Linked DNA regions of Tribolium castaneum. The protein of the gene in region 2 interacts with the protein of the main gene of each other region in a pairwise test. Links are inferred from orthologs where the notes say so. Each region holds a gene or a part of one and is shown on either strand. Other genes may lie near its edges.

The links.
Region 1: the proteins of Rlip (region 2) and AP-2mu interact in a two-hybrid assay, tested with the Drosophila melanogaster proteins (2 studies listed by BioGRID). The link is inferred for Tribolium castaneum from reciprocal best matches to the Drosophila melanogaster genes Rlip and AP-2mu.

Annotation. Positions count from the first base shown.
Region 1 is NC_087395.1:22,139,691-22,146,193, forward strand, and holds AP-2mu (AP-2 complex subunit mu), read right to left. Parts: upstream 4,066-6,503; 5' UTR 3,966-4,065; intron 3,871-3,965; 5' UTR 3,843-3,870; coding exon 3,666-3,842; intron 3,522-3,665; coding exon 3,359-3,521; intron 3,311-3,358; coding exon 3,092-3,310; intron 3,046-3,091; coding exon 2,535-3,045; intron 2,481-2,534; coding exon 2,234-2,480; 3' UTR 2,010-2,233; downstream 1-2,009. Other genes in the region: peroxisomal membrane protein PEX14, read left to right, coding at 4,449-4,514, 4,563-4,865, 4,911-5,338, 5,387-5,468.
Region 2 is NC_087403.1:3,535,144-3,541,929, forward strand, and holds Rlip (ralA-binding protein 1), read right to left. Parts: upstream 3,657-6,786; 5' UTR 3,515-3,656; coding exon 3,427-3,514; intron 3,376-3,426; coding exon 3,246-3,375; intron 3,201-3,245; coding exon 2,992-3,200; intron 2,940-2,991; coding exon 2,678-2,939; intron 2,632-2,677; coding exon 2,454-2,631; intron 2,407-2,453; coding exon 1,693-2,406; 3' UTR 1,647-1,692; downstream 1-1,646. Other genes in the region: larp (la-related protein 1), read right to left, coding at 5,287-5,318, 5,371-5,522, 6,450-6,598, 6,648-6,786. UniProt on the Drosophila melanogaster protein: Participates in receptor endocytosis during interphase, is also involved in mitotic processes when endocytosis is switched off.

The DNA.
Region 1 (6,503 bases), on a different chromosome or scaffold from region 2:
AAAAAAACCGTAATGCAAGTCCACAGGTATTTAACATTTGATTAAAAAAATTAATTCCGAAATCATGAGCTCTAATAAATAATTATGTACAAATATTAGAAAAATCCCTAAAATTCCTACTTGTGCACATACATATCTCAGTTTTGAACAAACAATTGGGTTACCCCAATGGTAATTGACTTCCAGCTGTGCGTCGTAAGTCCCTCATAAATCTTCTTCCAGCTAGCTTGGCATTCGAAGAGCGATGTATTTTAAAAGCTGCCTACTTTCAATTTAATTTTTGCTTTATGTCTGCGAGAACAGTTAACAAAAATCCAAAATATCTCAGGCCTGTATTTTAAATTACCTATTAAATGTTTTTTTTTTTATTTTCAATACAAAGCAAATACAATACAAATACAAATTCGTATCAACTTGGTCTGGCCTAAGATCTGGCCTTGTCAAAGTGTAAGTTTTTATGTGACGATCGTCTAGAAAAAACCGTTATGTTGTAGTGTAGAGTTTGAGATCGTTATATGAAGCACTGTGTGTAAGAGCGTATTTACAATTTTGCCACCTATATGCAAAAAATATAAGCCGCCCCCTACCACGTTTTAATTTTTTTTACGTAAAGAAAATCAATAAACACATAAATATTTCAAAATTTATCAATTCTGTAGGATTACAGCTTACACTCACCATAATATTTTTTGAGTCTTCAGTTACAATTAATTCAATATTAATCATCTCTAATCATTAACACTCAATTATTTAAATACTTTGCTTAGTGTGAAAATTTTTTCACATTCGACAGTTTTTGAAGAACACCCGGAAAAAGTTTAAAGTTGTCTTCAATTTTAAATATTTTATTAACTACTTCGTATAGTTTTTCAAGTCTTTCTTTAGCTTGTTTTTTATTCCGCGCACCACTTAATTTTTTCTGCTACCCCTCATAAGTGAAACGTTATTAATTATTTTTGTTCGCGACGAACAAAGCATATTTGCCATCAAGTATTTGTGAACAACTGAATTTCAAACGTAACAAAATCCCTTTCAAAAAATTTTGATGACGCTCTTTTTTCAACTTCATCGTTTTGTTTGGGTTATTCTGCTACTATCGGAGCCGCAACCTGCTTAAAATTTAATACCACAACATATTCGTCAGCCATCCTGTGAGTTGCTTAATCAAAACAAAAAAAAAGTAGGTTTTTTTTAGGTTTTACTTCCGTACTTTTATTAATTAAATTTTATTCACAAATTAACATTTAAAATAAAATCCGCGTTTGCTTTAGGCGCCAGCCTATTTTGCCTATACCTAAATACGCCCCTGACTGTGTTTAGGAAAAGAAAACGCCAAGATTTCGTCCCAAAACATTTTATTCACGAAATTTAGTCATTGGTGATGGTATGCATCTCGTTATAAAATTCAAAAGCTAATATAGACAACAAATTAAACATAATATACACAGGCAACCAGTTTAACGAGTATTGAATGTTGGAGAACTGTGCGGGGAATTTGAATACAAAGTGGATTAGGTACTTGGAACCAACCTGGTGATTCTAGAAAGACGGTTGAAAGAGGGACTGCCAGAAGTTCCGGTCACCGCATGCTTTCCATTTTTTAACTTTGAGTTTGAGTATAACTCAAACAAAATAAGTATTCGTTCCTCGTATGCGTGACAGTTAACGCTACCACACGCTTTTTATTTCTAGCGCAAATGCTGGAGTTAATGAATTTATTCTTTACTTAATTTCCAAACTGCATAATAATTAATTGGGAGCCCAAGAGTCCTGATTATCAGTGATTGTTTTTTCTCAGTCAAGTATTCGTGATTCGTTTTTACCTACTTACCTCATCTTCTAATAAGAATAAATAATGAAACAAAAAAAATCAACTTCGTCGAATGTAAACACAAGGTATGTTCTAATCCGATTTTTTTTGGTTTTGCGACAAATGAGACACCAACTTATTCGCTACAATTTATTTCCAAGCTTATGTAACATTACACTTCACAAATATACATGGTTATACCTCATCTACAGATAACACAGTGAAATTGTTTCACATAAAATTATTGAGAGCATACTTTTGCATAACACTTCTATTCCAACATCAAGCTTGCCTTGAGTATTTGAGAGCAAGAAATAATATTCGATCCGACATGATGTAAACCATCGATAAAAAAAGCAACTAACTACTAAATTAGATAACACAAAATAAACATAATTGAAATAAAATGTTGTTCCTCAAAATTTAGCATCGAGTTTCGTAAAGTCCGCTCCTTCCGATATACCGCACCCATTTAATAACATCATGATCCGAGTAATTCAATTTCGGCTCGAAAACCTTCAAGTATCGTACTTTAAAACCGGACGGTGCGAACGGTACTTCGAAATTCATAGAAATCGGCGGTCTTGTCCACTTCTTCTTCGTGTCGGTCTCCAGAAGCTCGATTTCGGCCGATAATTGCGTCTCCTTCATTCCAGCCATACGTTTGATCCTTGGGGAAAAACAGAATACAAATAAGTGAATCAATCGATTGTCACTAACTTACTTCCAAACAATCGCATTTTCCGATGCTTTGTATTTCGCCTTTCCTTTCAAACAAATCAATTGAACTCCCGAAGTGTTCAACGGAGTTGGAATTTTAACTTCGATTTTTTGCCCAAGAAGCGACGGCTTGAAGTTGCTTTTCAGCACCACCTTGACCTCCATTTTGGTGCGACCGACTTCACGCACGAGGGGAATTACCCGAAATGGCAACGATATGTCTTTAGTTGTACGATATCTCATCAATTCGAATTCACCGTCAGGTGGAATAAAGCTAATGGAATGTTCGGTTTCGAATTTACTTAATTTCACGCATTGGTGGAACTGGCAATCGTCAATTACAACGACTGGTTTGCCAGACCGGGTCTGATCGGAATCAGACGTCGACCCTAAGCCCCCTTTGCCTTTGGCTTCCATCACAATCTTGTCGTTAATCCCGAACTTGCATTCGGGCATTCCCGACAAATACGACTTCATCACGACTTTACCGGCCACGTGGGCCGAAAGAACCTGGCCTAAAGTTTTTTATGAAAACAAATTCAGGAAAAAAAATTATAAAACCTTGAGGCGACATAAGTAGGTTAACATATTCCAAAACATCCAAAAACAACTCGTTTCGACGATACTTGATACCCTCACGCCTCCAACCAATCTGACCAGTAACCTGTGACGTAATCTGAGCTTGTTCTTCCTTAGTGGCCGATTTGATCCCTTGTTGGGTTATGAACGTTTTCAAAACGCCGGTATCGGTGTTTTGAGGGTAACCAAAGTCCAGGATTTCTACAATTTTCATGTAATGACCAAATCAATGCAACTGAACGATTTTACCGTCTAGTAATTCATAAATAAGAACGAAATTATTTTTAATATTCTCTTCAGAGATTTTCCCAAAATACGACTGCATGACTTCGATAATCTTCAACAAGAACTCAAAAACCATGGCGGCGTTGACATTTTGCTTTGTTACGGCGGCAATCCAAATATTAGCCCTCTGGAAATCAAAAAACACAATTTCGACCGAGACTAGACTCATTTGATACAATTTTGTGCAAAATTCGCAAAACAAGCAACAAAAAGGTTGTGAAAAAGTTGAAATCGCACCAGTTTTTGTCCAATTTTCAAAACCAAAATGTACCTTAATGTGGAAAAAGGACGTTCGTGCTATGTTTGTGACCGGAGAGCGGACTTGTTGTCGGGCATGTATAACATTAACCCGAAACGCATCGACCGCATTTCTGCCGATATCATCCCTGTAAACTCGGGAAATGAGGACTTCGCCCTTGTGGTTGTACACGAACAACCCCCCGATCATTCTGCCGGCTCAGCTCTCGCCTAATGACCTAAAACCAGGTGTAATCACTACAAATGCAGTTTTATTCACGCCGACTGAAATCGGCCAAAAATTGGACAGTTTGAGGGAAAACTGGTTATTTACCGAATTGTGAAGTCATTAGAGGCTTTTTACGCACACACTTTTGTGATTTAACGGAATTATTAGTTAAAGCCGAACGGTTTTTATTTTACTTGGCCATCATACACCCACTGACAACTTGTCACTGCGATAATCCAAAGAGTGTTTGGTTTCATAATGCGCTCGATAACGCTTCCATGTTAGCAAAAACACAAAAATTATTATTATCGCAATTATCTAATATTATTGACTAATGCTTAAAGGTTTCTACAATAAAATCGCAATTTTTTTTTGAAAAAAAGTCGTCTTTTGACTAAATTTAAATAGTGACTTTCGCTTTGTCTCCAGGAATTTGATTTGACAGCGTCCCAATGACATTTGTTTTTGTTTAACCTTGGAATTTGAGATTGAAAATTAAAAGTTTGCAGAAAAACAAGTGTGGTGTCTTCCGAACTCGCGTTATCACTTCCATGTATCAATTTTAAGTAATTAGGTTAGTGTAAAACCATGTCTGATCAACTGTCCTCACTTGAGGAAAATCGCCCTGAGACTCCCCCAGTTCGGGAAGATTTGGTAAGTTGTTTAGGTTAAATTGCCCCATTTATCGATTGCTAACTGTAGGTGAACACGGCTATAAAATTCCTGGAGAACCCCAACGTGCTCAAAACATCGCTAGGAGAACAACAAAGGTTTTTGAAACGGAAGGGTTTAACCGATGAGGAGATCAGACAGGCGTGCGAGAAATCGGGGGCTTACAAATACCACGAACAAAGAAATCGGACGCCGCCTCTGCCCCCAAGTTCCCTAATTCCGTACCCAAACAGTGCAACGGTCCAAATTAGTTTATTTGATAAGGTTAAAGAAGTTGTACATAATGTGGCCATTTTTAGTTTCGTAGCGTACGTCGTGTACAAATTTTACATGGTGCGTGTTTCCCGTGGTTAAAAGCCGCTATACCATTTTTTGCAGAAATTTATAGCGCCGTTTTTCTTCGGGAAAAAGAAGAAAAGTGTAGAGGAGTCGATAGATGAATTAGACAAGAGTTTTAAGCAATCTGTGAATGACTTAAAAAACAATTTACTTAGTGTCAAAGTAGAAGTAGATAAAATTAGTCAAGGGGCTGAGAGCAGCACGCAGCGGCAATTATCAGACTTGAAATCTGAAATTGCGACAGTCAAAGGCCTGCTCCTGAGCCGGAATCAATTTCCGCCGGTTTCCAAAAGCTCAGTAGTCCGTCCGTCGATACCTGCGTGGCAGAAGACTAGCATAAGTCAGGACTCCGACCCCGACTCAGACCCTGAGAGAAAAGCCGAGGAACTGATGGAAGTTGGGTCAGGATCAGGGTCTTCGGAACATGAACATGCAGCAAAAAATAGTGATTCTAGTCTAGATATAATGCAAGTGGTTTGATTTTTTCCGGACGGGTTTTATTGATTTTATTGCAGATCTTTCTCATCCAAAGATAGTGATTTTAGAAGACACAAATCCAAAGATGTTGACGATGATGACGACGACGATAAAGATTAATCTTCCAAAAACGAGGCCATTTAAAGTAGGAAACACTTGGTTATTAGGTTTTGCAGTTAGCTGACATAGGATTAGAAAAGAAGGGTAATTTTTTTGTGGTGAGAAAATATTTTTAACTCTGCCTTATGGCAGCAATAAAACTCTGGATTCTACTTAAATAGTTTTATTTCACTGTAAAAGGTCATTTATTAGGTACTTTGTTCCAAGTTTGTATAGAGTTACTGTACAGTTTAAACGCTAAAACATGTATTTACAAAGGTTAGGATTTGTACCTAGAAACTAACAATTAACTATTCCAAAACTTGCCGTAAGTACAACCTACCAGGCAAAAAAAAACAATTTTTTCTAAAGACAGCACACCCTATTTGACTATTCACAAAAGTGTGAAGTAGCACCTTATCTAGTAGTTTCAACAATAACATTAAGACAGCGTCACAATTTACAATTATTTACAAACCAAAACTGTTGGCAAGCTCCCAACGGAGTTGGCAAAGCTTACTTAAAAAAATTGGCCGCGTGAGGGCGCTTAAGTACAGTTCAACTGTAAATAAAAATTGGCCACGAAATGTGGTGTTCAACTCAGGCACCGAGTTTATGATATGACAATAATTGGTGCCAAAAATCGAAGCTTTGCCTAATTTTAGCCAAGCTGAACTACCTATATACATTATTATCTAATCTAGTCCCAATAATTTTGAACACAAAATTATTGTTTCGTATAATTATTTTCTGATGCAGAAAATAAGATCAGAGTCTTGGAAAACTTACGCTATTTATGTACAATGAGCTGAACAAAATGCTGTACAATAAGCCAAACAATTTCGGGGTCTTTGGTCTAAATAATAATTCCGCTAATCATGGAATGATAGAACTCAATAGACTACACAAACAATAAAATAAATAACTGAATTCAAACGAAACAATTAAAAGTAATAACAGTTCTGTTTGGGTGGTTACTTCCGGTGTTGGTAGGAGTGTGGAAGATAAGTGTGGGTGACAGACACCACTATTGTCCAGTTTGAGCACGAGAAACCT
Region 2 (6,786 bases):
ATCTCAAACTTGCGAATTCAACAGCCTTGATAGACAATCAAATCGAGAAAAAAATTAGAAAGCTGCTTTGTCTCGACTCAAATAATCGAACGGAAATTGGAAAATAGACCGCGGCTCGACCGCACCGTACTTATTTGGAAGGCATTTAACTCATTTTACTTTCGGTGCATTAATTGGACCAGTTTTCGACCGCTGATTAGCATCAATATTCATAAGCCATTACTCAAATTTGAAAATTTTTGCAACTTAAAACGAATCGTAAATTACTTCTCGCTAATCAGTTTATCTGAATTCTTGAGAGCTGATCTTGATTTTTTGATTTCTAGTTGTGTAACACTTATAAATATTAAAGTGCAAGTGTAACATTGACCGTTACATTCACTGGTTACTGTTTCGGCTACAGTTAAAAAGGCATTGTGCGCTGGAAAAATGTTTACATTCTCCCCATTTTCGATTTCTCCAGATTTGACTATAATTAGCAAAAAATGTAATCACAGCAGGACAAAAAATCTTATTACCCAGAATCATTGGAGCGCGAATCAGGATAAAGAATCGGATTCGAAAGCGATGAAAAGATTAGAAAGATAATAAAATAAATCACGTTAAAGAGCTTGGAATGAATTATTATTACTGATAAGTGTGCATGTGCGTAATCTTAGATAAGGATGAGGGGCAGATTAACACAATAAAACGAAAGTGATTTAGAAAATGCATTAATTAGTTTAAAATCTCGTTTTTTCACTTTCTTGCCTCCTAAGGCAGAACAATTCGAATTAAATGTACGATATCTGACATAATCTCTTGTTCCACTTTTGGAAAAAGATTCAATCTGGATTATCGTATCAATTTCATGCTTGGATGCCCAAGTCGGTGTTTTTAGTTTGTAAATAAAACTGTAATAATTACAGACGTCTTCGGCTACTGGAACGGCTTCAAATCCGAAAATTAAACAAATCAAGAATGTTTTCGTGGTTGCTTATTATAACCTTGAAGACCTGAACAAAGTAAACTACCTACATACTATTATAATCTAATCTTTTTAAAAACATTTCGTACAATAAATAAGATAAAGAAAGGGTGCCGAAGACGAATGGGCTAAAATTCCGGGTTGGTGAAGTTTCTGGGTTAAACGGAATCATCTGTGTAAACAAAGTCGACAATTTAATCAAAAGTTGAGCAAACTTGATTATGATTGTTATTGACGTGGGAGTCATAAATGGGGTTTTGGGTCACAGAAGACTTACCACGAGATGGTCCCTTGAGGCTTCGATTCAAAATGTGACTTATAACAATATAATAAAATGAGCAATGTATACACACTAAACACTAACGAAACTCCTTATCTTATTTATTGACTTTGCCAAACGCCAGCAAACATCACAAGGGACGGTCGTAAAAATCCAACAAATAACAATTAAAAAATTAAACACCTTCAACCACTTCCTATTCTAAAATAATATCGGACATGAAACAGTACGAACTCACTCCCCACTAAAAATAAAAACAACACGCACAAAAACATGTAAAAATACTCGACTTAAGTAGTGCTAGCGCCGCCTGTTGGCTTAGTTCAGGCGCATTGCTAGTTGCATACCGTAACCTTAGGCCCACTCCAATGTCAAGTCTACCTAAATTTAAACCCAGCGTCAATTTGAACATTTATTATATACAGTTACAATAATACTGGACACATTACGACTTGGCTAAAATCTGCGCTCTCAGCTCGATGCACATCTCCTGCTCCTCGATGATCTGGCGGACCAAGTTGATCTTCTTGATTTGCAAAATTTGGTTCTCCTTGAGGAACAGGTCCATGACTTCGTCCAGGTCCTCGTTGGGCACCATCGCCACGGGCGGCACCTCCCCCGTGATCTGCGAGCGCAGCACGGCGATCTGGCCGCGCTCCGCCTGGATGTCCTTCAGGAGCGAGTCTCTGAGCAGCAGCAGCCCCTCGTTCTTGAACTTCAGCAGCGCGACGCTGCCGTCCAGCTCCGACTCCTCCTCGCTGGCCGCCTCCTCGGGCTGCGCCTCGGGCTCGGGGGCTTCCACCTTCTCGACCGCTTCCTTGTCGCGGTTCGCCGTTTTCAGCTTGCGCTTCAGCTGCGTGATGATCCTCTGCACCTCCCAGAGGAGCTCCTCGCGCTGCTTCGAGATGCAGCAGACGTTCATCTCCTTGTGGATCTGGGTGAGGAGCGACTCCTGCTTCTTGAGCTCCGTCTCGATCTCGGGGGGCTCCTCGGGGAGCTTGGCCCCGGACTCGAGAGGGGGCACGTAGCGCGCGATTGTGATTGTGGGGAAGAGCGCGAGGCAGTGGTGGAGCAGGGCGTGGAGGAGGCGCGAGGAGCAGTGGAAGGTGTGGTTGAGGGCTGTGGAAATGGCTTGTTTGTTCATTTTGTTGCATTTTTCCTGCGAAACGCGCTATACTATGGGGGCTGGGGTGTTAAGGCACTCACATTCAGAGAAACGTTGTGTAAATGGGTGATGAGCCAGCCGAGGAGCGTTTTGTTGTGGGGAGGTAAAAGGTCCACTAAAATTTTTAAGTGTTTTTCGCGAGTGTTGAGATTAAGGATGGCTCCGGCTTCCTCGAAACGTATTAAAAGGTCGTTTGTAAAAAGTGGTTCTGGTAAATCTCTGCAAAGAGTTTTTGCCCATCATGTTACACCTAAGAAAAGGTTACCTTAAATAGGTTTTTACTAAACTTGTGACGGTTGGAGGGTCGTAGTCATTTAAATTGATATTGCCCCTCTGATTGTACATTTTACGTATTTGGAGAACTTTTGATTTTGTTCCGCTGATTTTGTATATGCCTTCGAACGACATACCTACGGTTTCTACATAGTCTATACATTCCCGAATGGGTAAAGGAATGTCTACACCGTCATGGCACCGGCTCCTCTCAACAGCCACGTCTAAACTAGCCCCGAAAATCGGTAAAATATCTGGAACGAACAATTCATTCCAATTTTATTGTCATTATGTAAGAGTTCTCACCGCCGATGTCAGCGGTCTCGTCAATTGACTGTTTGAGTTTCTTCGTTTTCTCACTCTTGACTTTCTCCTTGTCCTGCTTCTTGTCATTCTTCTTATCCCGGTCTTTCTTCTTGTCGAGATCTTTCTCTTTTTCGCGGGATTTGTCCCGTTTTTCTTTGGCTTTGGTGGAGAATTTGAACGGTTTGGCTTTTTTTGTTTTCGACGGGCTTCTGAAACATCCCAGTGAGGGTTTGAGTGATTGCAGGTGTGATTACCTCGACTTGAAATTTTCATCAGCTGAACTTTCGCCTTCTAAAGCGGCATAACCTTTGTCTTTATCCTTCTTCTCTTTGCGTTTTCCGATGAGAATGTCCTTTTTCAAGACTTTCTCATTTTCGTCACTATCTAGAAACGAGTTTTAATCGGGAATTAGTGGTTCACTTAATTTATTATTACAGTCGCTGTCGTTATTGCACTGCTTATTTAATTCGGATGCGTACAAGCCTGGGAAATCCTTCATTACGTCGGGGCTATCAAAATCCATATTGACACGGTTGGGTTTGAACTTTTAATAAATAATTATGACACTATTTTCCCAAGGGAATTTGTTGCTAAGCATGTTAAGCTGGGATAAAACAGAAACAACACAAATCAAGTCATCTGAGTGGTGTAATATGACAGGTGCTTGCCCTGCCATCTCTTGAAGGAACTGGTGTTGAGGGCCGCCTTAACCGGGAGATTCGAAATAAAAGACGAGCTAGTTTTGTAATTTTTTTTAATTTTTTTTACGTGTTACAGGAAGACAAATCTTTGACCACACTTCCACAACACACTTTACAAACTAACTTAACTATGTAATAAATTGCAAGGAGTTGAGCAAAAAAAACGTTTAATTATCACAAGATTTATGTGTTTTTTCGTCTCGCCTGCAATCAATTGTCGATTGCACGTGGTTGGTTGCAGGCGAGACGGAAAAGCAGATTTTCAACTATCTTAAAATGATGAATTAGTACTCTAAATACAATATTACGAAAACACATACAAAAGAACTCCTTGCCTGTCCTATGATTTACATTTTCATAAACATACCAAAGGGAAGGTCATTATAAAAATATATCAAGAGTAGTTGACACCTAAAACTGTTAACAATATAAAACAAATGGGATTTAGTCGTATTAATAAAAACAGAGTTTCAAGTAACAACACCTTTGTCTAGTCTTGCCCCTAAACCAGTTGTCAAGGGGTCCTAACACAACTTATAAATATCCTCAAGCTAGATCAAACGAGAGGAGTGAAAGAAAATCCGGCAACGTAACAAAGTAAAAAGTAGTCCCTACTACGGGAGAAGTGAATGAAAATCCGGCAACGTAACAAAGTAAAAAGTAGTCCCTACTACGGGCGGAGTGAAAGAAAATCCGGCAACGTAACAAAGTAAAAAGTAGTCCCTACTACGGGAGGAGTGAAAGAAAATCCGGCAATGTAACAACGTAAAGAGTAGTCCCTACTTTAGATCGAGGCTACGCGCAAAAAAAAAACAATAATATAATAACAAAAGAAACGGTGGTTGTGTCATTAAATGGTATTAGAACAACGAGTTGGCGAGTGGCGTTTATCTATAGTCTTGAAACAACATTACAACTAAATTTTTTTGGGGAAATGCATACCTTAAGTAAATAAGTAAAATTTACCATCGTATGATTGCCATTTTCAATGAAAAGTGCAAACATTCTTAGCTCAACTAAACGTACATTGATTGTATTGTTTTCTAATGAACCAACCTTAAGAAATCTCAGCTAAGCAGTTATACGTGTAGCCCAGCTACATAATGCTTAATATATTGGTACACACTAAAGCGAAAACGAAACAGCCTATTTTTTAGATTTTATATATGAAAGTATTGTGGAGTGAGCCCATATGTATGTACAAAGTATAGCGCAGTCATTACAATACAACTGATTAATGTAACCATCAAACTCACACAAAACTTTATGACTAAATCATTCACGTTATATAATAATAGAACCGATACGGTCTCCACTGACATTTAAAAAATATTGCGTTGCATAGCTTCATCTTGTAATTACTAGAAAAATATGAAACTGTCAGTTATTTTAAGGCAATGGCACTTGCGCAAATCTACTTACACTTTTATACATCAGTTATTCATTTTTATACAAACATCAGTGCTTGATAGTTTTATAATAATTATAACTATAATTTAAAACATTATAACCTACACTTAAAATTTACAAAAGAAAAGACCGAGCAACGTACGAAAAATTACCTTGATCACTTAACTAGAACACTTGTTGGAACTTAAGCAGCGTTTGTGGAATTTTCAAATTTGCCTGTAACAAAGTTCAATTCAGGCCAAAAGTCACTCAAACCCACCCAACCTACCATCTGGCTCTTTCTGTCGCCAAGATTCACCGGTATTTCGGTTACTTTTGGTACGGCCAGATCCAAAAGACTGAGTACGAGCCCGTCCCGCGTATCTAAAACCTGTGCCAGCTGGAGCACTAGTTCCAGGCTGAGCGTGAGCAAAATCAAGCCTAGAATAAAATATACATCATATCACTCCCCACGCGCGCCCGCAACAAATACTGTTGCCCCTGGAACTCTTATAACTCCATGCACCCCAACAGTTCATATAAATAAAACGTCAAATAACAGGGAAAGTTCAAGGTTTAGCAAGAATTCCCGATTCAAATCACTTTATTTTACTGTGTCGCTTTGTTACTAGTAAATAAAAAAGAATAAAGTTTAAGAAAATTTAATGAAAAAAAAAAACAATGTTCCAATACAATATTACATACAACTATGAATTAAAAAATTAATTAAGTTTTAAAACGATCTGAAAACTGAGAATGTACACACATTTGGCGATTCTCCCATTTGATTCGTTACAGTAGTGCACCAATGAAACCTAACACCAAACTAACAGCCTAGTTCCCCTAACAACAAACAAAAAACTAAAAAATCACTCAACTAAAATAAATGCATTTCCGGAGAGCCCCTATAATCAATCAACTTTGGCTGAGGTGCTCTTCTTAAATAATAAATTAATAACAGCGCATTTATTCATAAGACAAGAGGATAAATAAGGCTTATAATCTTCGTAACGGACCGCAGACTAAACAATCTATACATTGAATGGCGAGTTAAACAGAATCGCGTCGTTCTGAACTTGACTGATTAAAAAACAACAATTTTTGGCACAACGTTGCCTCAAAAAATCAAACGATGTTAACTCAGGCTGCACTATTCATTCTATTGGCAGCGTTCTATCAATATTATTATAAGCAAATCCTTGGCAAAACCTTTCCCTATTATTAACAATATGTATCAGCATATAATATAGGATATCCCGGCGCCATTTCAGCCTGCATAGATCACTGGTGAGGTAAGTAAGCAACAATCTAATCTGGCCGAAATTACACAACATGGCTGCCCGACTCTCGACACCCAAATCAGCTTACCTATGAGCGACGTTACTTCCAGAGGAGCGTCGCCCAATAGTGCTGTCATCACGTGATGTTCCCGGTTCAGCCGAATGTGTTTCGGAAAGACTACGATTTCGGTTTTTCTGACGATATTGAGGACGTCCGCTTTGAGTATCGTTGATCGGCTGAAACAACCACCAATGAAACCGCGTTCTACTCACCTTGACTAGTTACCTCAACGACTCTGAAGTCCTCAATGCTCTTAAATTTCGATAAATACTGTTTTAGTACCGCATTCACTTGCAAGTCGCTGCTATGCTTGTAATACTTCAAGAAAGCCCAAAATTTCTCCAAGCCGTACAATTGCCCGTTC